4 linked regions of the Callithrix jacchus genome follow. The protein of the gene in region 3 purifies or fractionates together with the protein of the main gene of each other region. This does not show direct contact. Links are inferred from orthologs where the notes say so. Each region holds a gene or a part of one and is shown on either strand. Other genes may lie near its edges. The genes, in order: RPAP1, POLR2G, POLR2M and GPN1.

Region 1 (7,159 bases), about 41 Mb from region 3:
TAACACATACTCTATACAGGTGCTAGCATACAGTGGGTAACAAGATTGACTGAGTGCCTAGCATTTTGGTGAGCAGACATGGGGCGGGAGGTATAGCATAGCATAGTAGAAGACTGTAGTTTAGTAATAGTAGAGTATAGCTATAATAACGCATACTGTATACTATACCAGGGTAGTACAGTTATATAAGTACAGTGGTTACAAGCAGGCCCTTGGCTAGGTGCAGTGGCTCATGCCTATAATTCCAGCACTTTGGGAGGCCGAGGTGGACGGGTCGCTTCAGGTCAAGAATTGGAGAGATCAGCCTGGCCAACGTGGTGAAACCCGTCTCTACTAAAAATACAAAAAAATTAGCCAGGCATGGTGGCGCACATCTGTAATCACGCTACTTGGGAGGCTGAGGCAGGAGAATCACTTGAACTTGGGAGGTGGAGGTTGCAGTGAGCTGAGATCATGCCATTGCACTTCAGCCTGGGTGACAGAGCAAGACCATCTCAAAAAAAAAAAGTACTAAAGTACTCAGCACAGTGTCCAGAACTCACAGTAAGCCTTACTCAATAGTGGTGGTCCTCTCCTAGCCTGGTCTCAGCAGGAAAGCAAGGCACCCATACCAAGCTGCACCAGCAACTGCTGCTGTTCCTGCAGGATCTCCTCAGGAGCCATGGCCTGCAGTCTTGCTACATTTTCTTCATGGATAGTCTGGGCTTCCTGCTCAGCTTCTTGACCCCTGAGTCCCTTCCCTGTGACCAGATTAGGTCCCTGGAAGCTGTGGCTGCTTCCAGGAAGCTGGCAGCCCCGGTCCCTAGGAGCCAGTGTCTCACAGGTCACGGCACCTGGAAGAAAGGTATGACCACATTCATTGCTCTGTCCTCCATGGCTCTAACTGGGCTTTCTGGCCCTCTTCTATAAGGCTATTAGCCCTGGAGACAGGTACAGATCCAAGCTTTCTTTAGACAGAGTGCAGACCCCATTGGGTCTGGCATAGGACTCGAGGTGGCTTCTCCACTTACCACTTTCCTAGTACTATTATGAAAAGGTTTCCTCCAGAAACACCCTAATTTCTGACTCTTCTCTTGGATATCCAGGCAGCCATCTATAGCTAGGGGCCTGCTCCCGGCTCTTCAGCTAATAATTTGCATCATTAAAGGAATCTTCGCCAATACATTTATTTTACAGTCTCTGCCAGACTATTCCCTTTCTCTTAGGATTACATAATGGCCTGTGTCACTCCCAGCACCTGAGACCAGGATATGAACCCAAGCCTCCCATAACTTGTATTCTCAGATTACTTCAGATGGCTCAAATGTACCTCCCATTTGAGGCAGGAAGACGTGTCTTCAAAAATAACCCTATGATTGTGTCTTTTAAAAAGGCCAAGCCCAAGCCTCTTCAACCCCAGCTCACCCTCTGGTGGGCCCAGATTGGGCACAACTTCCCCAACTGATGGGACCCTGGCTTCAGATATTCTCCTTGCTGCAATCTCCTGGGCAAAGATGCTTCTCTTACCAGATATTGCTGATTTTCCCTGTGGGGCATAAAGAAAACCCTGGTTACTGATGCTCATTATCCCACTTTCCTCTCAGCCTCTTTATACCAAGGTCTCTGGAACAAAGAGATAAAAGGGGCTTTGCTCAATCTCCGGGGATAACAACACTCGTCCTCAGAAAAAAGGAGAGGCCAAAGGAGTAAAGATCTTAGAATCTGACAGACTGGGCTGAAGTTCTGGCTCTTCTATCTCTTTTTTTTTGAGATGGAGTTTCGCTGTTGTTACCCAGACTGGAGTGCAATGGCATGATCTCGGCTCACCGCAACCTCCGCCTTCTGGGTTCAAGCAATTCTCCTGCCTCAGCCTCCTGAGTAACTGGGACTACAGGTGCACACCACCATGCCCAGCTAATTTTTGTATTTTTGGTAGAGACGGGGTTTCACCTTGTTGACCAGGATGGTCTCAATCTCTTGACCTCGTGATCCACACGCCTCAGCCTCCCAAAGTGCTGGGATTATAGGCGTGAGCCACTGCGCCCGGCCTCTTCTATCTCTTATATGTCTGGTGTTGGACAAGTTATTTATTTCTTTAGGGGGTGTCAGTTTCCTTATCTGAAAAATGGGAATAAGGAATCCTCATCCCCAAGATATCATCATGATACCTCCCTTATATGTTTGTTATGAAGATTAAAAGATGTAACGAGTATGTACGGTCCTGCTTTGTAAATGAAATTGCCTGTCATTAAAACCACCTGTCGGTAGTCTGAAGATGCCTATGAGACTCACCTGTCTGTCTTCTAGGCACCACCTAAACTCACCCTTGCCTACCTGTGTGTCCCGAGAGCGATGAAACACAGGGGGGAAAGCAACAGCACTGGGCACAGGCAGCTTCACGGTCACTGAACTTGTATCTCGTTCCTGTAGCAACAAAGCACGAAGTTGTGAAGCACAATGTACAGACTTCCCTAGGCTGGACCCTATCCTATTAGCCCAGTTCTGAATGATAGAACCTCACTCAGGGGGATTATGGACCCTCCTCCCTTCAGGGCAAAGTGATTCTAACTCAGCCCCCAACCAGACTGCATTGGGGAAAAGTCTCCCTTTCTGAAGCAGCCTCTACTCATAAGGCTTACCCACCCCGAGCATCCAATATCCCTGTTGCCCAAGAACATCTTATCCTACTCAGCCAGAGTGAGACGCACAATAATCTTAGTCAAGACAGCAGTGATGTGCTGATCATGCCTCCTCAGCCTCTCTTCTGGGTCCTCATCCTCAGGCAGGGGGTGGCCAGGGCTGGCCCTGGCTCTCTTCGGGGGAGAAGGGACCAAAGCTGGGGGCAGATCTGGGAGATCTGAGAAAGAAAAGATCCCAAATATGAGTATATGCACCTTCCTAGGAAGTCACTGCAGCCTAGGAAGGAAAGCTTTGGCTGCCATGGGGCGCTGGCTCAAGCTGTCACCTTGCATAGGGTATTTAACCCCTTTGAGCCTCAGTTTCTTCCTCTGTAAAATGGGGCTGCAGCAACAGTGTCTGAAATAACAATGTGTCTGAATCCAACCACATTGGGAAGAGGGAGGGGCCGAGGCTGTACCCTGTCTACTTCTCAGCCTCATACCCCCGGGCACTTACTGTTCAACATCACCACATCCCGATGGTCCTGTAGCGGAGGCCGGTCTGAGTTGGCATCACCACTGCCCCTATTTCCTTTCTTTACCAACTGCACCGCTGGGGCTGCACCAGCTGCAAGAAACTGACTCTGGAAGCGCAGCAGGTCCACCTCGGACTCCCCTGGCTTTGGCCTCGACAGCATCTTGCTGCTCCAGCTGCCTCCCCAGTACGACTGTCTCCAGCAGTGTCTTCCTGTGGGGATTCTCTCTTATTCATCCCTAAGAGCAAGAAAGAATATGGGCCCTCTGCAACTGAATCCTGATTTTCTTTATTAGGCATCAGAGAAGACCTTCTTTATCCTTCACATGAACTCATTCCTCCTCAATCATACCTTATTGCCATTCCCTCTCTCTTCAGCCCTCCCTGATGTCATCAGCCTAGCAACAATATTTACAGCCAACTTAGGTTGTTTACAATCTATGGGTGATGATAAAACTCTCAAAAAGAACTAGCAGGAGACCAGAGGAAAATTTCATTAGGGGCCAGGCAGATATATGTGTCATAATGGGGGATGATGATACTGTATCAAACTGAAGAGGATGTGCTTGGCCTAAAGGTATGCAAATTATTAAAAACCCTGGGCTGTAAAATATCAATATTAAAAAACATTTGTGGCGGGTCGGTGGCTAATGTCCATAATCCCACCACTGTGTGAGTCTAAGGTGGGTGGATCACCTGAGGACAGGACCAGCCTGGCCAACATGGTGAAACCCCGTCTCTACTAAAAATACAAAAAATTAGCTGGGCATTGAGGTGGGCACCTGTAATCCCAGGTACTTAGGAGGCTGAGGCAGGAGAATCACTTGAATGCAGGAGGTGGAGGTTGCAGTGAGCCGAGACTGTACCATTGCACTCCAGCCTGGGCAACAAGAGTGAAACTCCATCTCAAAAAAAAAAAAAATTGTATGTCTTTTTTTTTTTTAAGATGGGGTTTCACCATGATGGCCAGGCTGGTCTTGAACTCTTGACCTCAGGTGATCCACCCACCTCGGCTTCCCAGAGTGCTAGGATTACAGGCATGAGCCACCGCGCCCGGCCAAAAAATTGTATGTCTATGCACGAGCAAAGAACATGCAGAAAATGGAATTAAGAAAACAATTTAAATTACAGCAACAAAAAGAATAAAATGCTAATGCATTAGAACAAATGTAACCAAAGAAGTACAGGACTTGCCCATTGAAAACTATTAAACATTGTTGAATTAAAGTACTAAACAAGTGAGGCAGTCATAGTGGCTTATGCATGTAATCCCAGTACTGTGGGAGGCTGAGGCAGGAGAATTGCTTGAAGCCAGGAGTTAAAGATGAACCTGAGCAACAAAGCCAGACCATGTCTCTACAAAAAATAGTAACAATAAGAATAAAGACCTAAACAAATGGAAAGATATCCCATGTTCATGAATTAGAAGACTTAATACTTCCCAAATCTATAATTCAATATAATCTTTTAGCTTACTACAGCCTCAAACTCCTGGGCTCAAGTGATCCTCCTACTTGACACAGGAAGTTAATTTAATTGCCCCCAAATCACATAGGAAATGGCAGAAACAATCTGAAATTAGGCATTCAAGCTGCAGAATGTATGCACTTCTATATCTGCTCAACCTTGCCAATGATAAATGATCAGAGGATTAAAAGATAAAAAAGCAAAGAAAAAACATTAAAAAACCAGGCACGGTAGCTCATGCCTATAATCCCAGCACTTTGGGAGGCGAGGTGGGTGGATTGCTTGAGGTCAGGAGTTTGAGACCAGCCTGGCCAACATGGTAAAACCCTGTCTTTAAGAAAAAAAAAAAAAAAAAAAAAAAAGGCCGGGCGAGGTGGCTCAAGCCTGTAATCCCAGCACTTTGGGAGGCCGAGGTGGGTGGATCACGAGGTCAACAGATCGAGACCATCCTGGTCAACATGGTGAAACCCCGTCTCTACTAAAAATACAAAAAATTAGCTGGGCATGGTGGCTCGTGCCTGTAATCCCAGCTACTCAGGAGGCTGAGGCAGGAGAATTGCCTGAACCCAGGAGGCGGAGGTTGTGGTGAGCCAAGATCGCGCCATTGCACTCCAGCCTGGGTAAAAAGAGCGAAACTCCATCTCAAAAAATAAAAATAAAAAAATAAATAAAATTTTTTAAAAATCAACAAATAAGTGAGCAATCAAATGTTTGTTTTGTATCATGATAAAATATGCACATTTCTATTTTTCTCTATATATTATAAATTTATGTACTTTTTAAACTTGTAATTTGTTATAATGTTAGATTTACAGATTTATATAGATAGTATGAACAGTTACCATATATAGTCTTCACCCAGCTACCCCAAAGGTTAAGACTTTACGTAACCATGGCACAAAGGGCTAAAAAAGAAATTAACGTAGAGTCATTAATTTGTCAGTAAAAAGGAATGAAGTTCTAATGCACAAACCTTGAAAACATTACACTAAGTGAAAGAGGCTACATGACTCAGAAACATTTTATTTGGTGAAAAAAAAGAAAGAAAGAAGCTAACCACAAAGGGCCTCATATTGTATGATTCTGTTCATACAGAATGTCCAGAATAGGCAAATCCATAGAGACAGAAAGTAGATTAGTAGTTGCCAGGGGCTAAGAGAGCTGGAGGGAAAAGGGAATTGACAGCTTCTTTCTGAAGTAATTAAAATGTTCACCACTGTAAGTATACTAAAAGCCATGAATTGTAAACTTTATTTATTTACTGTCACAGGGTCTGGCTTTGTCAGCCAGGCTGGAGTGCAGTAGCATGATCCTGGCTCACTGCACCCTCCACCACCACCTCCTGGGGTTAAGCCATCCTCCCACCTCAGTCTCCCAAAAAGCGGAGACTACAAATGCACCACCACACTCGGCTAATTTTTTTATTTTTTATAGAGACAGGGATTCACCATGTTGTGCAGGCTGATCTCAATCTCCTGGGCTCAAGAAATCTGCCCAGCTCAGGCTCCCAAAGTGCTGGGATTACAGGCCTGAGCCACTGCACCTGGCCGGTAAACTTTAAAAAAATGAATTCTGGCCGGGCGCTGTGGTTCATGCCAGTAATCCCAACACTTTGGGAGGCTGAGCCGGAGGGATCACGAGGTCAGGAGTTTCAATACCAACCTGACCAACATGGTGAAACCCCATCTCTACAAAAAATATAAAAAAATTAGACCGGCATGGTGGTGTGCACCTGTAATTCCTGCTACTTAGGAGGCTGAGGCAGGAGAATCGATTGAACCTGGGAGACGGAGGTTACAGCGAGCCAAGTTCATGATTGCACTGCAGCCTAAGCGACACAGTAAGACTCTATCTCAAAAAAATAATAATAAATGGGAATCCACTGGGCTTGACAAAATAAAAATTAAAAAAAGAAAAAAGAAAAAGAAAATGATGAATTCTGTGGTAAGTAAATAATATCTTAATTATAAAACAAAGGCCAGGTACAGTGGCTCACGCCCATAATGCCAGCCTTTGGGAGGCCAAGGCGGGTGGATCACGAGGTCAACAGATCGAGACCATCCTGGTCAACATGGTGAAACCCCGTCTCTACTAAAAATACAAAAATTAGCTGGGCATGGTGGTGCGTGCCTGTAGTCCCAGTTACTCAGGAAGTTGAGGCAGGAGAATTGCTTGAATCCAGGAGGCGGAGGTTGCGGTGAGCTGAGTTCGTGCCACTGCACTCCAGTCTGGGTAACAACAGTGAAACTCCGTCTCAAAAAAAAAAAATTATAAAACAAAAACACCGGGCTGGCCAAGCATGTCTGAAAGCTGGCTGACTAGTTTTGAAACCCCTGAGCTAGATGCTGATAATAATAAAAACGTTATTGTTATAGCTAACACTTATTGAGCACTTAGCATGTGCCACATACTGTTCTCTATGCACTTTTTCCATATTCATTAATTTTTTTTTTTTTTTTTGAGATGGAGTTTCGCTCTTGTTACCCAGGCTGGAGTGCAATGGCGCGATCTCGGCTCACCACAACCTCCGCTTCCTGAGTTCAGGCAATTCTCCTGCCTC
Region 2 (7,944 bases), on a different chromosome or scaffold from region 3:
GAAAGTGAGACTGGGTTAGCACTTTCAATGGATGCGTCAGCAGATGGTAATGAATGGGTATCTCTCTTCTTCAGCCCCATCCAGTGTGCCTAGACTTACATGTCGAGAGATGAAGCAAGACATAGGCCCAATTTCTGTGAAGAGTCCAACCTAGAAAGAAAATGAGTGATCTTGCTTTTTTTTTTGCTACTTAAAGTATTGTGTTTTTGTTTTTTGCTTTTTAAATTTTGAGACAGTGTCTCACTCTGTTGCCCAGGCTGGAAAGCAGTGGTGCGATCACAACTCACTGTAACCTTGAACTCCCGGGCTCAAGCGATTCTCCCACCTCAGCCTCCCGAATAGCTGAGACTACAGGTGCACACCCCCATGCTAGGCTAATTTTTAAAAACTTCTTGTAGAGACACAGTCTTGCTATATTGCCCAGGTTGGTCTCAAACTCCTGGGCTCAAGCAATCTTCCCATTTCTGCCTCCTAAAGCCCTGGGATTATAACTATGAGCCAATGCACCCAGCCCTTTTCTCTGTTTTTTTTAGACTTTTATTTGTATTTATTTATGTATTTACTTTGAGACAAAATCTCGCTGTTATCCAGTCTGGAGTGCAGTGGTACAATCTCACCTCACTGCAACCTCCACCTCCCAGGTTCAAGTGATTCTCATGCCTCAGCCTCCCAAGTAGCTGGGACTATACACACACACACACACACACCATGTGATGCCTGGCTAATTTTTGAATTTTTAGTAGAGACAGGGTTTCACCATATTGGCCAGCCTGGTCTTGAACTCCCGACATCATGTGATGTGCCTGCCTCAGCCTCCCAAAGTGCTGGGATTACAGGCATGAGGTACTAGTGCCTGGCCTAAACTTTCATTTTAAAGTAGTGAAGAGCTGGGCTGGGTACAGTGGCTCACACCTGTAATCCCAGCACTTTGGGAGGCCAAGGCAGGTGGATCACAAGGTAAAGAGATCGAGTCCATCCTGGCTAACATAGTGAAACCCCATCTCTACTAAAAATACAAAAAATTAGCTGGGTGTAGTGGCACACACCTGTAATCCCAGCTACTTGGGAGGCTGAAGCAGGAGAATCGCTTGAACCCAGAAGGCAGAGGTTGCAGTGAGCTGAGACTGAGCCAATGCACCCAGCCTGGGCAACAGAGCAAGACTACCTCTCAAAAAAAAAAAAAGGCCAGGTGCAGTGGCTCATGCCTATAATCCTAACACTTTGGGAGGCCGAGGCGGGTGGATCCTGAGGTCAAGAGATCGAGACCATCCTGGTCAACATGGTAAAACCCCATTTCTACTAATACAAAAAGAACTTAACTGGGCATGGTGGCACACGCCTGTAGTACCAGCTACTCGGGAGGCTGAGGCAGGAGAATTGCTTCAACCCAGGAGGCAGAGGTTGCGGTGAGCCAAGAGCATGCCATTGCACTCCAATCTGGGTAACGAGCAAAACTCCGTCTCAAAAAAAAAAAAAAAAAAAAAAAAAAAGATTTGAACACTGGTTGGGCACATGATCTTGACCAGTACACTTAACTTAAGCTTCAACTTCTGTAAAAAAGCACCCACCTTGTAAAATCACTGTGGGTCTCTGCACATTACCTGGCCCATAGTAACTACTCAGTCAATGCAGGCTTCTATTGTTATGACTATAAATGACTCCCTTGCCCTCTGAGTCACACAGGGCCAGATTGCCATACAATTTTAAAGTGAAGCACAAGAAGTAAAAGTTACTGGCCAGGCATGGTGGCTCACGCCTGTAATCCTAGTGCTTTGGGAGGCTGAGGTGGGCTGACTGAGCTCAGGGGTTCAAGGCCAGCCTGGGCAACATGGCAAAACCCCATCTCTACCATAAAAAAAAAAAAATTAGGCAGCCGTGGTGGCACATGCCTTTAGCCCCAACTACTCAGGAGGCTGAGGCAGGAGAATCGCTTGAACCCGGGAGACAGAGGTTGCAGTGAGCCAAGATCGTGCCACTGTACTCTGGGTTAAAGAGCAAAATTGTCTCAAAAAAAAAAAAAAACAAAAACAAAAAGTAAAGTAACTTAGCTGAAGGCACAGAGTTATCAAGTGGAGCCAGGACCCAACGACATCTTCCAAGAGACTACCCCACTGGCTCCCCTATGTATGGTCTCACCTTGTTGACCTGCGTGACAACAGCATCCACGACTTCTCCTTTAAAGGGCCGGAAAACAATGGCCTTGTACTTAACTGGATAAAGGACGAAGCCTCGGCCTGGCTGGATCACACCAGCACCGATATTGTCAATGGTGGTTACAGCGATTACAAAGCCATACCTGCAAGGAGGAGGAGAAACAAACGGCATTTTGTGTCCATGAGCCTCTAAAGATTCTGCAGTAAAAGTCACTGAGCTTTTGGGAGGAGGGTCAAGGAGAACAAAAGGACAAGTTGCTAGCACCTCAGTTACCAGAGCTTAATGACCAAGAGAAGACAGGACACAGATCAGTATGTATTAGGCCAAATGCTGCTCTGATAATTTCACAATAAATGTCCAAGATGGCTGGAGACCTTGAGCCAACAGGGGCCAATCTTTGGGATGCCTGAGAATCATCTTATTAAAATGCAGACTCTCTGGCCCAGCACGGTGGCTCATGTCTGTAACCCCAGCACTTTGGGAGGCCGAGGCAGGTGGATCACCTGAGGCCAGGAGTTTGAGACCAGCCTGGCCAACATGGAGAAACTCCATCTCTACTAAAAATACAAAACTTAAGGCCGGGCACAGTGGCTCACGCCTATAATCCCAGCACTTTGGGATGCTGAGGCGGGTGGATCACGAGGTCAAGAGATCGAGACCATCCTGGTCAACATGGTGAAACCCCGTCTCTACTAAAAATACAAAAATTAGCTGGGCATGGTGGCGCGTGCCTGTAGTCCCAGCTACCCGGGAGGTTGAGGCAGGAGAATTGCTTGAACCCAGGAGGCGGAGGTTGCAGTGAGCCAAGATCACACCATTGTACTACAGCCTGGGTAACAAGAGCAAAACTCCATCACAAGAAAAAAAAAACAAAACAAAAATTAGCTGGATGTGGTTATGCACATCTGTAATCCCAGCTACTTGGGAGGCTGAGGCAGAATGGTTTGAACCCGGGAGGCAGAAGTTGCAGTGAGCCGAGATCGTGCCACTGGACTCTAGCCTGGGTGAGAGTGAGACTTCCATCTCAAAAAAGAAAAAATAAGCAGATTCTCAGGTCTGCCCCAGAGAATCTTGATTCTGTAGGAAACAATGAGGTTCAGGAATTTGCATGTTCAAGAACCACCCCAGGTTTTTCTGATGCTGGAGACCCAAGTAACTCCACTGCCCTGGGCTGGGTCATTAATACCACCCTGGGAGAGGCTCCTCTGCACAAAGCCCAGAGATGTTCAAGTCCCAAGCTGCTTCCTTCCTCCCCCAACTCGATCTGCCTTTTCTGGTCATTCATTCAGAATATATATTGAGGCCCATGGTGTGTGGTCCCTGGGCACAGGGGATAAGAGAAAACCAGCAGAATGACAGAGGGAGAGCAGACACAAGAACAGTAATTACACTGTGGACTCCACGAGGGCTGGTCTCATTCTATCTTGTTCTCAGGGCCCAACACGGGTCCTGGCACACAGCAAGGATTTTTTTAACATGTTTGAGGAGTAAATGAATGATTAATTTCAACGGAGGGAAGGAAGTCTTATCGGCCAGCATTGCAGAGGGAGTCCTGGGAACCCAAAGCAGGAAACAACTGGCAGCCTGAGAGAGTGAGAGAGGTCCCCAGAGTGGGTGGCAGGACGAGCAGGAGCTGGGGAGGGGTTGCAGGTATAGCGCCTCGTGTGTGCGATCTGGCTGCGCGGTGAAGTCGGCACTCACTTCCCGGTGCAGGTCCCCTCCACCTCGGTGAAAAGCTTCTGCTTCACCGTGTTGAGCAAATTGGGGCCGAAGTAGCGCGGGTGCAGCAGGATTTCGTGCTCTAGGGAGATCTGCGGAGAAAAGTGGGATGGCGACCAGGCCAGGCGCTGGGAGGTTATCGGGCAAGAAGGGGCCCCTCGCGCCGGCGCCCGGCTTTGCTCCTCCTTCCCACCCAGCCCTTGCTGCCACCCTGAGCCCTGCTCACGTGGTAGAACATCTTCCCAGAGCAGTCTGCGAGGCTAAATCCACACCTCTTGCCGCCTCCGGGAATCCACCGGAAGCACAGATAGCCTCAGCAACCCCAGTTCCGGGCCGGCCGCGACAGAGGGAGGAACTCCACCCCCTTCGCGGGTTTGATTGGGCCTCGCTGTCGTGGGCGGGAACCACTAAAGCCACGCCCCTCGCCCGCCCAACCTGGGCCTCAAAAGGCAATTCTCTTAATGCACAAACTATAACAACCACTCAGTAAATACTTATAACGAGATTAATTAGTGAAAGAATCCATAAGTCAAGCGCTATAACAGAGTGCAGCAAATCGATTCAGCAAATATATATCTACACATGTTTGTTGGAGGCCCAAGTACTTCACTGCCCTGGGCAGAGAGAGAGTCTCTGTTGTCCAGGCTGGAGTGCACTAGCGGGATCATAGCTCACTGGAGCCTCCAACTCGTGGCCCCAAGCGATCCTCCCATCTCAGCCTCCCAAGTAGTTGGGGCAGCAGGCGTGCCACCACGCCCAGCTAATTTTTAAAAATTTTTTTTTGTACAGACCGAGTCTCTGTGTTGCCCAGGCTGGTCTCCAACTCCTGAGTTCAAGTGATCTTCCCGCTTCAACCTCCCAAGATGTTGGAATTATAGACATGAGCCACCACACCAGACCTTTGTCTTTCTTTTTTCTTTTCTAAGAGAAGGGATCAGTCCGGGCGCGGTGGCTCACGCCTGTAATCCTAGCACTTTGGGAGGCCGAGACAGGTGGATCACCTGAGGTCAGGAGTTCAAGACCAGCCTGACCATCATGGTGAAACCCCAACTTGAAAAAAAAGGGGGGGGCTGGGCGCGGTGGCTCACGCCTGTAATTCCAGCACACTCTGGGAGGCCAAAGCGGGTGGATCACAAGGTCAAGAGATCGAGACCATCCTGGCCAACATAGTGAAACCCCGTCTCTACTAAATACAAAAAAAATTAGCCGGGCATGTTGGCACATGCCTGTAATCCCAGCTACTTGGGAGGCTGAGACAGGAGAATCGTTTGAACCCAGGAGGCAGAGGTTGCGGTGAGCTGAGAATGCGCCATTGCACTCCAGCCTGGTTAACAAGAGTGAAACTCCATCTCAAAAAAAAAAAAATTAGCTGGGCGCAGTGGCAGGCGCCTGTAATCTCAGCTACTCTGGTGGTTGAGGAAGGAGAATCGCTTGAGCCTGGGAGGAGGAGGTTGCAGTGAGCTGAGATTGTGCCACTGCACTCAAGGCTGGGCGGCAGAGCACAACTCCATCTCAAAAAAAAAAAAGTTGTTGGAATCCCAAAAACCACTTTAAGCCTCGAGAGAGATGTGACTTCGAGTCACATACAGTTTACAATTTCTGTTCTCAGATTATAGATCAACTCACTTTCTTATTTGTCTTGTTCTCTACATTGACTAGAAAGACTTAAATGACCTCAGGGACAAAAAAAACCTCCTGCCTCCTTAATGAATGACCCTTGTTATAGATTAACTTGCCTTTTGTTGTTCTGCTTTGCTTAGACTACATGACAGAAAATCCATGACTATTTCATGCTCTGGAAAAAAATGTTACATGTCTCTTTCCAAAAAGAAACATTGTCTATAGCCAACCAAATTGCCGTAACTACACTAAGTACCAATCTTCTATGAAAAATGTAATCCCGATAAAATTCCTGTGTCCTTGCCTATACAAATGAAATCTTAACTTTTTTTTTTTTTTTTTTTTTTTTTTGAAATGGAGTTTTGCTCTTGTTACCCAGGCTGGAGTGCAATGGCATGATCTTGGCTCACCGCAACCTCCGCCTCCTGGGTTCAGGCAATTCTCCTGCCTCAGCCTCCGGAGTAGCTGGGATTACAGGCACGAGCCACCATGCCCAGCTAATTTTTTTGTATTTTTAATAGAGACGGGTTTTCACCATGTTGACCAGGATGGTCTCGATCTCTTGACCTCGTGATCCACCAGCCTCGGCCTCCCAAAGTGCTGGGATTACAGGTATGAGCCACCGCGCCTGGCTGAAATCTTAACTTTTACTTCAGAACACTGACTCCATTCCTCCAGAGTTGGTGTTTCCAGGTGGTCCATCCTCACACTTCACACTTGAAAAAAACTCTTTTAATAGGTTCTGACCCTGCGCGTTATTTTAGCTTGATACTGATACCACTATTATTCCCACCTTTATAAATGAGACCCAAAGAGATTAAGTGGAGGTATTTGGGTATGAATAGCTGACCTGCTCCAAAGCTAGTGTTCTTTTGTTTGTTATTTTCTTTTTCTTTCTTTCTTTTTTTTTTTTTTTTAGACAGAGTCTCCCTCTGTCGCCATGCCGGAGTATAGCGGTGTGATCTCCGCTCACTGTAACCTCCACCTCCTGGGTTCAAGCAATTCTCCTGTCTTAGCCTCCCCAGTAGCTGGAACTATAGTTGCATGCCCCCATACCCAGCTAATTTTTGTATTTTTAGTAGAGATAGGGTTTCACCATGTTGGCCAGGATGGTCTTGTTCTCTTGACCTCGTGATCCACCCTCCTTGGACTCCCAAAGTGTCAGAATTACAGGAGTGAGCCACCGCGCCTGGCCCTTTTTCTTTTTCTTTTTTTTTTTTTTTTTTTTAGATTTTAGTGGAGATGGGGTCACCATCTTGGCCAGGCTGGTCTTGAACTCCTGACCTTAGGTAATCCACCCACCTTGGACTCCCAAAGTAGTCTTGGGATTACAGGCATGAGCCACTGCGCCCAGCCTCCTTTTTTTTCTTGAAGAAGGGTCTCATTCTGTCACACAGACTGCCAGGCTGGAGTGCTCATCGAATTCTGAAGGTACAGGTCTGGGTCACCATGCCCAGTTAACTTTTTTATTTTTTGCAGAGACAGGGGTCTCATTCTCTTGCCCAGGCTGGTCTTGAACTCCTGGCCTCAAGTGATCCTCCTGCTTCGGCCTCCTAAAATGTGGGGATTACAGGTGTGAGCCCTCACACCTGGGAAAGTTGTATTCTTTACTACTGTACACTCTACTAAGACTGAAACTTTGGATAAAAAAGACACCAAAGCGGTGGCTCATGCCTGTAAGGCCAGCACTTTGGGAGGCTGAGGTGGGTGGATCCTGGGGTCCGGAGTTTGAGACCAGTCTGACCAACATGGTAAAACCCCGTCTCTACTAAAAACACAAAAATAAGTCTGGCGCGGTGGGGTGGCACGCCCCTGTAATCCCAGCTACTCCAGAGGTGAGGTAGGAGAATCACTTGAACCAGGGTGGCTGAGGTTACAGTGAGCTGAGATTGTGCCACTGCACTCCAGCCCCGGTGACAGGTCAAGACTCCTTCTCAAAAGAAAAAAAAAAAGACACCAAAGCAATAAAAAGGACTTGTGTCTGCTCCTCAAAGTGAGTGCACACAGAGCCCGAAAGCACAGAACAGCAATTCTGACAGTGTGGTCAAGATCTTTGCAGCGGATTATTGAGATCGTCTTCTAGTTACGTGTCTGTGTTAGACCCAATTTTCTTCCTGTATTTCAATCAAAACAATATATTCTAATAACTAATAGAAGCAGATAGGAGAATTGAGCTGTCTTCTATTCAAATAGTGTGATATTGTGAAATATACATTTCTTTGACCCCGTTTTCTTGCATACAATTGCTAAAACTCTAAAGTGATTTTTTTTTTGTATGCTAATGATTGACTGACGGCTGGCAGGCCCTAGGTAGCTTCCGGCGGGGGGTGGGGTAGGGGGGTGGGTCACCAGAAAGAGTAGGGCATGATTAGAAGGTTGGGGCTTTCAGCCCACCCCCAACTTCTGGGGAGTGGAGGGGGTGCTGAACTGCTTATTTGACCATCAATGGCC
Region 3 (7,798 bases):
CTGACCGTCACCAGATGAATCAATTTGTCGAGAAGGTAATCTGATAAAAGGAAAACTTGTGTCACACAGACTATTTTCTTTATTTGTAGACACATTTAAACCATTCACACAAAAGGCCTTTAACCTTAGCAATCAATTCTCCTCCAAAGGTAATAGTAAGCAGTTTCCCAATATTCACTGCGCTGACAAATAGGAGTGTGTTTGCGCATACAGGCTCTTTGCCTTTTCCTTCATCAAACCTTATACTTTAACTGGAGCTTTTCTTTTTTCACTTATTCATTCAATGAACATTTGCAAAAGGGTTTACTGCCTCGTAGAGAGAAATAAACATGTAAAGTTTCAGTGCGATATAATACCAGAGGTACTATGACAGATACCTCAACGAGATACACTGGAACATAAGGAAATGGCCAGTTCCCGTGGGAGACAGGGAGGTTGTCAGAAAAGCTTCCAAGAAGTGACATTTGAACAGTCTTGGAATAATAACTGCTTACCCCTTAAATGAGGAGAGAAGTGCATCCCAGCAAGGGGAGTGAGAGGAAGCACAGCAGGCACAGACACCCAGCTTTTCTGCTATACAGAAAAGACGGCCACAGAGAGGGCTGGGAAGTAGGATGAGCCCAGACTGCAATGAGAAGGTCAACAGAACAAGTTCAGATTTCCATCTTAAAATTTCACTCTGGCAGCAGTGGAGACTGACTGCTAGTTAAACTAGAGGCAGGAAGAAGCCACAGTTGTAGCCCAAGAGAGGGGAGTGTCTTCACTCTGACAGAAGATGAAGAACAATTATACAGATGAAGATCAAGGAAAATACATTACGTAGGTCTTCATGGTGAGCAGATAAGGAGATGAGAAAAATGAAAGATACCTTGGGGGAAGAAAACCAAGAAGAAGGTGGGGACACTATTAGAGAATATGGAAATTACCTTGGAAAGAAACAGGGGTGCCACTTTGTACATGATTAAGCTGAGATGCCAGGGAACACCCAAGTGGTCAAGTGTTATGGCTAATTGGCCATGTAACCCTAAAACTTCTGGAAGATCTGGAGTAGAGGTAGACAAGGGGCAGCCTCCAGCATCCAGGTGATATACGAGGCCAGAAGAGTATGCAGAAGGAAGAGCAGAAAGGCTCAAACGGACACTCCCTAAGCCCATTTTCCAGCCTCCAAGCCACTTCTTACCATGTGTGTAGCCTCTGGACTCCTCAAAGCCCTGCCTTTCCTGCTCTCCTTTAACTACACAGGAGGCTCCCTCTCTCTTAAACTTCCTGCACTCTTGGTAACCCTCATCACTATTCCCTTATCTCCCTCCAACTCCTACATAAATGACCATAATACAGAACTGGGATTAATGTATTCTTTGTTGTATTTATTGGCTAGATGACGGTTCTAGTTTTCTACATGTCATCCTGGAAGTGAAACGTGTACTTCACTGTATACAAGAGATTACCTGACCACATTAATATACTATAGTCCTGATTTTGTATTCAGCAGAAATCACGTTTTCAGGTTAAAATGAATGCTGGGGTTGAGTTAAAGTGTAACAGAAAAGACGCATGTTTTAGGTACTTTTCGCTAGAGGTCTTCTGTTTTTCAGAGAATGGTAGTAGTGATTTAACGGTGCATTTGATGTTATGTACTTGTAAATACAGCACGGGAAGGTAGCAGTTACCCGAGCTGAATGTTACATTTGCTGCAAGTAAATAGCAATTCTTTTCAAAAAGATTTTATTTTTCCTGAAATGTCAGAAATAAATTTATGGCAAGGAACTGATAAGCAGAGTTTCTGCCCATCCTGCATGAATCTATTTTCACAGTTTTCAAACCGCTTCTCAGCTTCCTTCTCCCTGAAACTATTAGTATGTAGTTTAACTCTTTTGCAAGTGTGTAAACCTTGGGTCTTCATCCAGCTCCTAACCTCACTGAAGAACAGGGAGTTTATTACATTATACGTGTATACATTATGGCCATGTTTTTAAACTTGAGATACAACATTAATAAGGCAAAGGAGTTTAAGAATTTTGACTTCACTGTGTCCCCACAACACCTGCTGCTTGCTTACATTTAGTGAGCATGCACATCTCTTCTGCTGGAAAGCCCATGAGCTCCAGCTGCAACTGCCTTCCCCTTAGTTCACAGACTAATCACAGTGAGTACACTTTGATAGTACACTAATCAGAGCTGTACGGTAAAAAATGGTTCCGAAAAAAAGAAGTCATAATAAATTCTCTCTCCAACCCTGTTTATTAGGAAATACCGGGTCACAGCCTGAAATTTAATACTCCCCCATGTGCTATTTAAGACCTTTTCAAAACTAAGTATTTTTCAACATGAATCTTCCACTCCATCCAGGCTGGTCTGTGTTTCCACAGTATGTTCTTTTCTAACAGGCAGTTCTCACACAAAGCCACGGAACTTAGAGCATTCTCCTGACTTTTTTTTAAAAGAAAAGGTTGCCCAACCTTCTCCAACTCCTGTCCTCAAGCTGTCTTCCCACCTCAGCCTCCTGAGAAGCCTGGGACTACAGACAAGCACCATCACAACCAGCTTCTCGTAACTTTTTAGGTTTAACAAATACTATGCCCCTGTTACAGGCCTGTTTCCGATGGTACTTACACATTGGTCTTAAATGTATGCAGCTGGGGCACTGGGTTTTTGGCTCGCGTTTCTAGCACTTCCATGTAATGAGGCTTCTTCTGAGTCGCATGAGAAAGGCCTGTCAAGTTCATGGCACCTGTGCTTTCTTCTGACTGTTGTTCACCCTGGTCTGCAATGCTGATCCCCTGTAACCTGTCAATAAACAGGCTGTCAGAGCTGCTGGAAGTATCTTCTGCTTGACTTGAAACACGATGCTGCGGGTGATGCTCACTAGCTTCAGACGAAGGCGGCGCTCCGTCTCTGTTGCTGGAAGCTGGGCCCTTACTCACTGCGTACTCAACCTCTGGAGTCTCTTCATCACCTTCATGAGTAGGACGTCCAAGTCCCTGGTTTCGTGAGGTTGTTTCAAATGACTTGATGTTATCTACAGAGGAACAGCCAGGAGCTAGTGATGAAGCATCAAGTATCTGGTCAGAATTCCGGGCCTTATCTGTATCGACATCCACCTCTGCAGTGGCTTCTTGCCTTAGCTGACAGTCTAAACTAACAGCATGAAACAGTTCACTTTTTCTTCTAACTTCTTCACGTTCTGCAATGGCAGCTTTCAGTTTGGCAACAGAGTCAAAAATCTTTTTACCTTTGTCGGGCAATTTGCAAATGAATTTTCTGTCAAATGGAAAAGAATACATATATATTACAGTCACGTTTTTAAACTTGACATACAACATTAAAGAAGCTAAGCATTAACTTGTAAGAAAAAAAGCCAATTTTTTAAATCGAATATCTGATTTCTAACTTCTCCAAAATGGGAATAAAACAAATAAATGGCCATTATCCAAAGAGCCCAAAAAACACGGGAATGCAGGAACAGAGAATATATGCCTCATTTGTCTCAGCAAATTAGAATTTCAGCAAAAGTACTTCAAGCATATAATAATCACGTAAGGCATTCCAAGAACCAGCAGTCATTAAATCTCCAAAATGTGAGGATGGGGTTGAGTGTGGGGATGGGTCTATTAGGTCAAAACTACTTTCATCATAATACCAAGATGTTATTTCCCTCTCACTTCCTCACATGGGTACAGTGGAGTTTTCCAGAGGCTACATGACATGTGATGACATCATTGTTCTAGAATAGAATGTGTGCTTGTGTATACTTACGTTTTAAAGACTTCAGCTGCATTTCTGATAAGTAAATGAATTTTGCTAGATATAACACATAAATAATTCCATGGGATGTCAATAATTCTTAAAGTATAAAGGAGTCCCAAGACCAGAAAGTTAATTCACTGCCATAGATTGAAAACCTGTTCTCACAAGGTCAAAACACCTGTCTGGACCCCAATCAAATATTTATCTCTTTTGTTGGATAACAGAGTTCCTTTTCTGATTCCCTTTTCTTTATAGAATCAATGGAGAGAAAAAATTAAACCCTGGGTCCTCTGTTCTTTTCGACAATGCATTCATTCTCACAACTGACAACACTACAGCTGAAATTCCTATGTTTTCTATATTTTTCCAATTTCTCTCTTTCTTGAGCCTCATGACTGCTTCTCCAGCTTTTGTTTGGTTTTCACTTAACCAAATGTCTGTCCTGCTCTCCTCTCACCTCCGCACACCCTAAGTAAAATCAACCTTGGATCTATTCCTCTCCCCGAATTTTCCTATTTTTTGCTAGTGGTGTTCCATATACATAGGAAACTTCGGCCATCTCTGCCAACTACATGTAAATTAGTCCATGCTTAAAGTTTTCCCAATTCCTTCCTAGTTCACTTCCTTACAACTCTCTCGTGGGGAGCCTCTCTGCAAGCATCCTTCTACTGTCCTCTGCTTTTTATTCCTTCAAACCATCTTTTGCACGAAGCTGCTGAACACAACTGCCCAAAACACAAAATCACTTTTATCACGTGGCTCCCCTACTAAAATCCTTTAAATCAGCCAGCTGAATGAGGGTCGAACTTTCCCGGCCTAATAAACAGCTCCTCACATCCCACTCTCCCCATTTCCTCCGGTTCCTGTAACCATAGAATCCAGACATGAAGCTGACAATCCGTTATGGGTTAGGGGCGCGGGCGGCCAAAGGCTTAGGATGCAGACTCTTGCTTCACGGAGCCAACAGAGTGCCCGGGAAAACACCACCAGCGAGGAGCTACTAACTCACTGCAGCGCTAAGGAGCCGTCCAGGACGAGTCGTCCTCGCAGGCAAACGTGCCTGGCCAGGGAGAGGGACGGCTCTGCGGCAGCAAGTCCTCTGTCCACTCGCCCGGAGGACTGAGGCGAATGTGACTGAGGCAAGGTCACCTTCCAGGGAAGTGAATGGAGTGAGGGAGGGAAGGGGAGCGCCCAGGGAGCTCCAGCTGAAGGAGCCTGGCAGTGACTCCGCGGGACCGCAGCTTACACGTTGCGCAAAAGTCTCTCCTGGCGCTTCAACATTTCCCGCAGCTCCACCAAACTCCGCTGCCCCAGGTCCTCGGGTGCTTGGGGCTCGAAGCCGCGGGGCAGCGAGGACATTCTGCGCAGGCTGAGGCTGGCGTGGCGGCGGGCACTCGGCTTCCTCAACAGGCCCCGCAGCTAGCGCCGGATCCGCGGCCGCCGGTGACTCCGGGGCATGAGCGGGAGTCGCCATTTTCCCGGAAGAACGGGCTCTTCTTCGAGCCGAATCGAGCTTTATTGAAATGCCGGAAACAAACACGGACCGGGAGAAAGGGGGCGTCCGGGGGGAAATCGCTGCAGGGCGGAAGTGACGTCATGACGCCGGCGCCGCGGCTTGGCGCCCTTTCCCCTCGTGTGAGCGTTTCACCCGTCGTCAGCGGCGCATCGGTTTGTACAGAAAGTGTTCTGCGCCAGGGTGACCTCACCAAACACGACGTGTTAGTCACCAAATAGCCACGTCCTCTGTTATAGTTGGAGTTTACGGAGTGGGGAAGTCAGGGGGACGATCAAATAATAATACAATAGTAACGTTGCGTTGGACACCTCGGAGGGTGTCTGCAAAGCGAGATTCCAGTGGAAACCTTAAGGATGAGCTGGCCATTAATGACGTAGAGGAGAGTGTGAGACAAGGCGTGGGAGACTCCGGCCTGCGTGTGGTGCCTCCTAGCCCGGCTTCGTGACGTCCGGAAATGTTCAGGTTGGACGGTCCCTTCTTGGGGCGCAACGGCGTTTGCAGCGGGACATTCAGGTGCTTCTGGCTGCCAGGCACTCCCAGATCATTGCAACAATCCGGAACGTCTCCCCCAACATACATGTCCAAGGCCCACAAGAGGTGAGGAGTGGGAGCGGCTGTACAAACCGCCTGACGACCTTTTCTAATTTCCTACTTTGCCAATAGAAAAACAGCGTCACGAAAACGGAAATAAATATTCCCAGGGCACAAAACCAGCGACAGCACCCGATTTCAAACCCAAAAGCCCAGCTGCTTTTCCAACGTACCAGTCTGAAAATCCCCGTCTTCACTTAGACCTATTTCCAAATGTGTAAAATTGTTGAAAAGACTTTACTTTACAGCTGTTGAGAAGAAGGCAGGTTCGTATCGGACCCAGCTTTTACCTTCTTGTAGTTCCTCTACCAGAGGTGCATCCCAGTAGAAAGAGTTGGAAGACATGCAGTCCCAGCAGATGTCACTTGGGAGGTTTGAAAACCCCATAACCTCCAAAACCACGCCCTCCCCCAATTTTTTTGATATAGAAGATTGAAGGTGTGTCAATCCTATGTAAGATGCTACATAAACACAAACAGCTCCGTCCCAAAGAGACAGACGATCTAGGTAAAAATCCAGAGCTATTCCAGGGAGCACAATTGCAACCATTTCTCTATTCCCAAAATCTGGTCCATTTTGATCAGACTCGTTAACATATCAAAACAAGTTTTCTCAGTATAAGACTTCCTGTAAAGGGCACTTAAACCTGCTCCAGCATTGACTGAATGAGAAATAGTTGAGTAAGTTCCTTGAATCAGGTGATTTGTCTGTGGCGTTGGCAAAAAAAAAAAAAATCAAACTCTGCAAAATATTGAAGAGATTTATTCTGTGCCAAATATGGGTGACCATGGCCCATGACACAGCCCTCAGGAGATCCTGAGGACACGTGCTCCAGGTGGCTGGTGCACAGCTTCATTTTATACCTTTTTCGGAGATCCAAGACGTCAATCAAACACATTTAAAATGAACAGTGGCTTAATCCAGAAAGCTGGGACAACTCAAAGCAGAAGGAGTGTGCAGGAAGGTGGGCTTCCAGGTTATAGGTAGATTTAATTTTTTTTTTCTGATCCACAATTACTTGAAAGGAATGTCTGGGTTATCATAAGAGGTTGTGAAGACCAGAATTTTACCATGCAGATGAAGCCTGCAATTAGCAGGCTTCAGAAAGAGTAAGATGCAAATGTTTCTTATCAGACTTAAAGTCCATGTTGATATTAAATGCTGGGCAGCTTTTTCTGGATTCCAAAAGAAAAAGGACAGCAAAATGAGGCATGTCTGATGCCCCTTCCTGTCATGGCCTAGTCAGTCTTTTAGGTTAATTTGGAGGACCCTGGCCTAGAGGAGGAGGTCCAGAAGGTTGAGGGGGCCTTCTCATTTTACTTTTGATTTACAGTAACAAGGCTATTATATAATCAGCAAAGTGACATCTAGAATACAAAAACTCAATTTCTTATACATCAATAAGCAAAACAAATCAGCAGGAAAAAAAGGAAAAATACAAATAGTTCACAGAAGAGGAAACTGAAAAAACGAGAAAACATAATTAAAAAAAGATCCTCAACTTTAGGGAAATGCAAAGTAAAACAAAAATCTTAAAAATCCCAAACTCTTTCTGATTGGAGAAATAGGAGCTCACGTGTTGCAGAGAATGAACTGGCAGAAACACTGGGAAAAGGTATGCAGCCATATCTAGCAAACTGGAAGGCATAAATCTACAATTTAACAGCCTCTACGTACACAGCCTTCCTAAGGAAACTCTGTATGCACTAAAGATGTGTGTCAGTGCTTTCATTGCCACGTTGTTTATAGTGGCGGCCAAAATGGAAAACTACACCAATTAAAATGAGAATTAAATCTACAGATAGCAACAACGTTGAATCTATAAAACTTTGCAGAACAAGATCATTTATTTTAAGCTGAATAACATGCAAATTAATAGTGTATGTTTTGTCAGAGGATGTATTGAGATATAATTTACATGTAGTAAAACACCCCCATTTTAGT
Region 4 (6,807 bases), on a different chromosome or scaffold from region 3:
CAGTGGCACGATCTCGGCTCCCTGCAACCTCTGTCTTCTGGGTTCAAGCAATTTTCCTGCCTCTCCTGAGTAGCTGGGACTACAGGTGTGTGCCACCATGTCTGGCTAGTTTTAACATTTTTAATAGAGATGAAGTCTCATGATGTTGTCCAGGCTGGTCTTGAACTCTTGGCCTCAAGCAGCCCTCCTGCCTTGACCTCCCAAAGTGTTGGGATTATAGGCATGAGCTACTGTCCCCAGCCCACTTTTTTTTTTCTTTAACTTGCTTTGGTGAGCAAGGACTATTTACTTTTATGACTGTACCATGTTGTTTTTTTTTTTTTTGAGACGGAGTTTCGCTGTTGTTACTCAGACTGGAGTGCAATGGCTTGATCTCGGCTCACCGCAACCTCCGCCTTCTGGGTTCAAGCAGTTCTCCTGCCTCAGTCTCCTGAGTAGCTGGGACTACAGGTGCGCACCACCATGCCCAGCTAATTTTTGTATTTTTAGTAGAGACGGGGTTTCACCTTGTTGACCAGGATGGTCTCGATCTCTTGACCTCGTGATCCACCCACCTCGGCCTCCCAAAGTGCTGGGATTGCAGGCGTGAGCCACTGCGCCCGGCACCATGTTGTTTTAATTATGTAATTATGTTCAATATCTGCTAGGTCACATTCTCCTCATAATTTTTATTTGGTTGTCCTTACATAGTCTTCCACATGAACTGAGTATCAACTTTAGTCCCCTAAAAAGCTTTTTGGTATTTTTGTTGGGATTATATTATATTCATAGTTAATTTAGGGAGAAGTGACATCTCTATGATGTTCAGTCTTGTTACCCAAGACCATGGAGTGTCTTTGTATTTGTCAGGTCTACTTGTATCTTTCAAGAATGTTTATGGTTTTCCTCATGGTGGTTTTCCGTATTTCTTTTTAAACCATTTTTGTTATTTTAGCCAACCTTTTTGACCAAGAGTTTTTGCCTGTTTGTTTTTAATTTTTTTTTAAACAATTCATTTTTATTTGAGACAGGGTCTTGCTTTGTTACCCAGACTGGAGTGTAGTGGTGTGATCTTGGCTCACTGCAGCCTCTGCCTCCTGGTTTCAGGCTATTCTCCTGCCTCAGCCTCCCTAGTAGCTGGAACTATAGGTGCCTGCCATCATGCCTGGCTAAATTTTGTATTTTTAGTGGAGATGAGCTTTTGCCATGTTACCCAGGTTGTACTTGACCTCCTGGGCTCAAGTGATTTGCCCACCTCAGCCACTTAAAGTGCTGAGATTACAAGTGTGAGCCACTGCATCCAGCTTGAAATTTATGTATGAATGTATGTTTGCTGTGTATTTATTTTTGAGGCAGAATCTAGCTCTGTTGCTAGAGTGCAATGGTGCAATCTTGGCTCACTGCAACCTCTGCCTCCTGGGTTCAAGTGATTGTCGTGCCTCAGCCTCCCAAGTAGCTGGGACTACAGGCTCGCGCCAACACGCCTGGCTAATTTTTGCATTTTTAGTAGAGGCAGAGTTTCTCCATGTTGGTGAGGCTGGTCTTGAACTCCTGACCTCAGATGATCTGCCCGTCTCAGCCTCCCAAAGTGCTGGGATTAGACATGAGCCACCATGACCAGCTGACTTTACTGAATTTTCAAAAATTTTTTGAGTTAGTTTTATCATTGGCTCTCCAGGGGTTTTTAGGTTAGTTTTCATTTAGCATGCCTTCCACCCTGACCGCTGTATGTTGATTAACTGCCCTCAAGATTCTGGTGCAAGTCTCTTGTAGCTTAGTGGGATCCTGCAACCAAATTGACTGTACTTAAAAGAAAAACTCCATTTATTTATTTATTGTAATAAATGGGGGCCAGGTGCGGTGGCTCATGCCTGTAATCCCAGCACTTTGGGAGGCCGAGGTGGGCAGATCAACGAGGTCAAGAGATCGACACCATCCCGGCCAACACGGTGAAACCCCGTCTCTAGTAAAAATACAAAAAAATTAGCTGGGTGTGGTGGTGCACGCCTGTAGTCCCAGCTACTCGGGAGGCTGAGGCAGGAGAATTGCTTGAATCCGGGAGGCCGATGTTGCCAGTGAGCTGAGGTTGTGCCACTGCCCTCCAGCCTGGCGCCTGGAATGAGACTCTGTCTCAAAAAAATAAAATAAAATAAAATAAAATAAATTGGGGATAGTTTTTTTTCCTTCTTATCAGCAACACTAGCATTTTTTTCTTCTGGGACATCTTTCTTAAAGGAGTGATGTTTCTGTTCATGAAAGTTATTGCTATATTGAACAGCAAAGCTGAAAACAGACTGGGTTTACCAGTTAAGTGATCTCATTTGTGCCATCCTTGCTGCAAACCTTAGCAAAATACATTTTCATGTGCCACAGTCCTTTAGAATCATTTCTGAATATGTCAAGTGATTGTTACAACTGCTGCTACAAAGGGTCTGCTGTGCTCCGCTAACCTGTTGTAGGGTGGGAGAGTTTAAGTAAATCATTTGAGGAAAGTCAAAAGTATAGTTGCATAATTGTTAGTTGGGTACAGAAATGAAGCATTTACTGTCAGCATGTCCTGTCATCCTCCTTTCTCACAGGCCCCTTGAGATTTGTGCCAGTTGATGTTGCTGCCTCTGGCCACCCTTATTCCCTAGCCGAGCTCTCACAAGCCTCAAAGGCTCCTGAAGAGAGAGTGGCTGTGTCCTCCCATGGTAGTAGTGAGTTGACTAGATTTTTCTTCTGATTACTGGAGCTCAGCCCTTATTAGTTTTTCTGAATAGAGAATTTTACTTGTATTAGTGTATTTGATTTTCTATTTTTCCCCTACCTCCTCTTCTTAAATAATACCCTGGCTCCTCAATATCATTTCAGCCTGTATTTTCTGCAGACCTTCTCTGAACTTACATTTCCACCAGAAGGCTTCCTTAGCACTCCACACTTTCACTGTGACTCACCAGCACACTGGATCTGTTCAGGTGTTTTTAGCTTTCATAGGAGAAACCATCACTCCTTCCAAGCTGTGAGCCAGTAAAAAGAATGATGCTACTACTAAGACAAGCTTCTTAAAAATTATTTCCCTCAGCTTAAAAAATGGGACTCCTAGGGCTGTTTGCCTTATGAAAGCACTTTGTGAACTAAGTATAGAAATGTTAAACGGTATTAAGAATACATTTAGAAGAGGTAATCCTGCATTTACCTGTATCATGAGAACTTTCATCCTGCCAGTTTATGATCATAGTTATTAGTGATTCCAAATCAACTTTTGAGAAGGCATATGCACTCATAGCTGTTTTCACTGTAGACAGCTTATCTCCTGTGCTGGACCCTTCTGAATTGATCCTGACTCGAGGAACCTTGGATGAAGAGGAAGAGGAAGCAGACAGTGATACTGATGACATTGACCATAGAGGTGAGAGGAGCTGAGGTGGCTCATGGCAACACAGCATCTGCTTATCCTCACATTGTTTCCCCAGGAGTTTCTTATTGTTAAGCATGTAACCAGTAATAGTGGGGGAGAGGAGATGGTAAAGGATACCGCACCAGAAAAGAGTTTCCTATATTGAAAGTTCCTGTCCTGCCTACTGGAGGGTTAATATTGAGCTGATTATAGACCTTTCATTGGTCTTGTGTCTCCTTATCTTTAGGTCCTAACTTGGTTTGAGGAATCCAGGACTTTTGTTTGTTGTTATTAGGATTTTGTTTTAAGAATACGTAAGGACTGGGTGTGGTGGCTCATGCCTGCAATCCCACAGCTTTAGGAGGCCAAGGCAGGAGGATTGCTTGAGTCCAGTAGTTCTAGACAATCCCGAGCAATAGTGAGTCCCAGTCTCCACAAAAAAGAAAAAAAAATGGCTGGGCGTGGTTGCTCACAGCTATAGTCCAAGCTGCTTGGGAGGCTGAGGTGGGTGAGTTGCTTGAGCCCAGGAATTTGAGGCTATAGTGAACTATGATTGTGCTATGGCACTCCAGCCTGGGTGACAAAGCAAGACCGTCTCAAAAAGAGGATTATATAGGTGGTATGGACTATGATAGCATGGCTCTGAAAACCCAAATTCCACTTGGCATGGTTTTATGGACTGTGAGCAGAATCTGATTATTATTTTTTGAGACAGAGTTTTGCTTTTTCCCCCAGGCTAGAGTGCAATGGTGTGATCTCAGCTCACTGCAACCTCTGCCACCCAGGTTCAAGCAATTCTCCCACTTCAGCCTCCTGAGTGGCTAGGACCACAGGCGTGTACCACCACACCCAGTTAATTTTTTGTATTTTTAGTAGAGACAGGGTGTCACCATGTTGGCCAGGCTGGTCGCGAACTCCTGACCTCAAGTGATCCACCTACCTTGGCCTCCCATAGTGATGGGATTACAGGCGTGAGCCACCACACCCTGCTAGAATCTGACTCTTAAAACAACCACAGGCTGGGTGCGGTGGCTCATGTCTGTAATCCCAGCACTTTGGGAGGCCGAGTCGGGTGGATCACCTGATGCCAGGAGTTCGAGATCAGCCTGGCCAATATGGCAAAACCCTGTCTCTACTAAAAGTACAAAAAATTAGCCAGGCTTGGTGGTGGGCACCTGTAATGCCAGTTACGTGGGAGACTGAGGTGGAAGAATTGCTTGAACCTGGGAGGCGGAGGCTGCAGTGAGCCGAGAGTGCACCATTGCACTCCAGCTTGAGCAACAAGAGTGAAACGTGGTCTCAAAAAAAAGAAACAACCACAAGATTAAGGTCTAAACTATGACCAAGAGCAAACCTTGGCCAGGCATTGTGGCTTATGCCGGTAATCCCAGCACTTTGGGAGGCTGAGGTGGGTGGATCATGAGGTTAAGAGTTCAAGACCAGCCTGGCCAAAATGGTGAAACCCCATGTCTACTAAAAATACAAAATTAGCCAGGCGTGGTGGCGAGCACCTGTAATCCCTGCTACTTGGGAGGCTGAGGCAGAGAACTGCTTGAACCCAGGAGGTGGAGGTTGCAGTGAGCCAAGATTACACCACTGCACTTCCAGCCTGGGTGACAGAGTGAGACTCCGTCTCAAGGGGAGAGAAAAAAAAAGCAAACCTCCTTGTTCTTTGGCTGGGTTTTATATGTAAATTGCCCCATTTAATCAGATTTCTTAAGATGTAATTTACCAACAGTAAAACTCAACTTTTTGAGTACATAGTTTGACGAACTTTAACAAACACATACTTTCTTGTAACTACCATCACAGTTGAAATGTAGAACATTTACCCGACCCCTGAAACTTCCTCATGCCCCTTGTTTTTCAGTCCTTGTCCTAAATACCCAGAGCCTGGCAACCACTGACTGATACTGCCTTTTCCAGAATGCCATACAAATAGAATCACAGTATTTAGCCTTTTGCATTTGACTTTTTGGACTCAGTAGTATAGTCTGTCCATGTTGTTGCATGTATCAGTAATATGTTCTTTTTTTATTGCTGATAGTCCATTATTGTGGATGTACCACAGTTTGTTTATCCATTCCCCAGTGGATTGATATTTGCGTGGATTTTAGCTGTTATGAGTAAAATGACTATAAACATTTCCAAATAGATCTTTGTGTAGACATATGTTTTCATTTCTCTTGGTTAAAAATACCTATAAGTGGGACCTTATTTTAACTACTATGAGGGAGTTATTCTTTATACATAGAAACATTTTGGGCAGCATGATAAAGCATGCTTCTAGGAGACATTTCCTCTTTGAGAAAGGTGAGTACTTAGTTTTTTAGAAGTAACATACTTTTTCTGATGGATGGGTGATAGGGGCTCTAATCAGTTTTGTCTAATGAAAGAGAATTGAAAAGGAATTGTCCTTTTTTCCTTGCAGTTACAGAGGAAAGCCACGAAGAGCCAGCATTCCAGAATTTTATGCAAGAATCAATGGCACAATACTGGAAAAGAAACCACAAATAGGACACCCTAGGACATTTCACTTGTTTCCAGAAGTCCAGAATTTTGGACCTCTGTGTGAAAGAACTATCCTTACCTCTGACTGGGGGCTACTATAAGGGACAATTTTCTTCAGGGTAGCAGAGTTTCTCTTATTAGAGAAATCTTGTGACTCAGATGAAGTCAGGGCGAGAAGACCCTTGGACCTGGCAGGTTAATGCTGATTATTCCTTGGCCTTTCCCCTGTATTTATGCAAGGAAGGATACACTAAGCTCATATTCTTCCAGCCCTACAACTTCAAGTTTTATCATTTGAACTCAAGTACTTTGGCTGCTGAGGAATGGAATCAAAAGAACATAGTCTCCTGGTGACCACTTCAGATCTCTTTTAGGCTGGATATATAGCCTCTACTTCCTCCACCCTCCCCCCCAGCTTCGTGCCCTTGACCCTGCACCATCAGTTGCCCTCCTATTAGTAGCCAGGGAAAAGGGAAACATGAGTTTGTCCAGAACAGCGGCAGAGTATTCTTGGCAATCCACCAACGTTGGTATGAAATATGCCTCACACTGTATAGCTCATTATAGGACGCCAGGTTTGTTGAAAGTGGGCAAGACATGATTAATGAATCAGAATCCTATTTCAGTGGTTACTTGGATAAAGAGTGTTTAATTTTAACTTTGTTGTAAGACTACTTGTCATGATTTCAAATTAGAAAATTATGTAATTGTGAATAGATTCACTTCTGTTCAACAGAGGCTTAAGGCCACATGTCCAAAGTTTTCTCAATAAGGAGGTGATATTTTACTAAAGTTTCCCATGTGCACATACTGAGTAAATACAGAGCGAGGCCCAGTTTGTATTGTACTCTGAACTTAATGAAAAGTCTCCTTGGTGATTTACACAAAGGCCATGGATTTAGGTTAGAGGCACATTTCATACATAACAGCCATTATAA

The links.
Region 1: the proteins of POLR2M (region 3) and RPAP1 purify together in Homo sapiens (affinity purification with mass spectrometry; 3 studies listed by BioGRID and IntAct, counting the BioPlex papers as one, with this or other methods). This does not show direct contact. The link is inferred for Callithrix jacchus from reciprocal best matches to the Homo sapiens genes POLR2M and RPAP1.
Region 2: the proteins of POLR2M (region 3) and POLR2G purify together in Homo sapiens (affinity purification with mass spectrometry; 4 studies listed by BioGRID and IntAct, counting the BioPlex papers as one, with this or other methods). This does not show direct contact. The link is inferred for Callithrix jacchus from reciprocal best matches to the Homo sapiens genes POLR2M and POLR2G.
Region 4: the proteins of POLR2M (region 3) and GPN1 purify together in Homo sapiens (affinity purification with mass spectrometry; 3 studies listed by BioGRID and IntAct, counting the BioPlex papers as one, with this or other methods). This does not show direct contact. The link is inferred for Callithrix jacchus from reciprocal best matches to the Homo sapiens genes POLR2M and GPN1.

Annotation. Positions count from the first base shown.
Region 1 is NC_133509.1:45,068,112-45,075,270, reverse strand, and holds part of RPAP1 (RNA polymerase II-associated protein 1), read right to left. Parts: intron 3,372-7,159; 5' UTR 3,296-3,371; coding exon 3,115-3,295; intron 2,837-3,114; coding exon 2,688-2,836; intron 2,404-2,687; coding exon 2,314-2,403; intron 1,526-2,313; coding exon 1,405-1,525; intron 834-1,404; coding exon 612-833; exon of another isoform or gene 555-611; intron 1-554. UniProt on the Homo sapiens protein: Forms an interface between the RNA polymerase II enzyme and chaperone/scaffolding protein, suggesting that it is required to connect RNA polymerase II to regulators of protein complex formation.
Region 2 is NC_133511.1:120,035,147-120,043,090, reverse strand, and holds the start of POLR2G (DNA-directed RNA polymerase II subunit RPB7), read right to left. Parts: upstream 4,183-7,944; 5' UTR 4,112-4,182; coding exon 4,100-4,111; intron 3,966-4,099; coding exon 3,856-3,965; exon of another isoform or gene 3,573-3,855; coding exon of another isoform or gene 3,544-3,572; intron 2,297-3,543; coding exon 2,137-2,296; intron 151-2,136; coding exon 100-150; intron 1-99. UniProt on the Homo sapiens protein: Core component of RNA polymerase II (Pol II), a DNA-dependent RNA polymerase which synthesizes mRNA precursors and many functional non-coding RNAs using the four ribonucleoside triphosphates as substrates.
Region 3 is NC_133509.1:3,677,253-3,685,050, reverse strand, and holds the start of POLR2M (protein GRINL1A), read right to left. Parts: upstream 5,236-7,798; 5' UTR 5,107-5,235; coding exon 4,994-5,106; intron 3,262-4,993; coding exon 2,614-3,261; intron 41-2,613; coding exon 1-40.
Region 4 is NC_133515.1:87,394,529-87,401,335, reverse strand, and holds part of GPN1 (GPN-loop GTPase 1), read left to right. Parts: intron 1-3,262; coding exon 3,263-3,370; intron 3,371-5,789; coding exon 5,790-5,875; 3' UTR 5,876-6,807. UniProt on the Homo sapiens protein: Small GTPase required for proper nuclear import of RNA polymerase II (RNAPII). May act at an RNAP assembly step prior to nuclear import.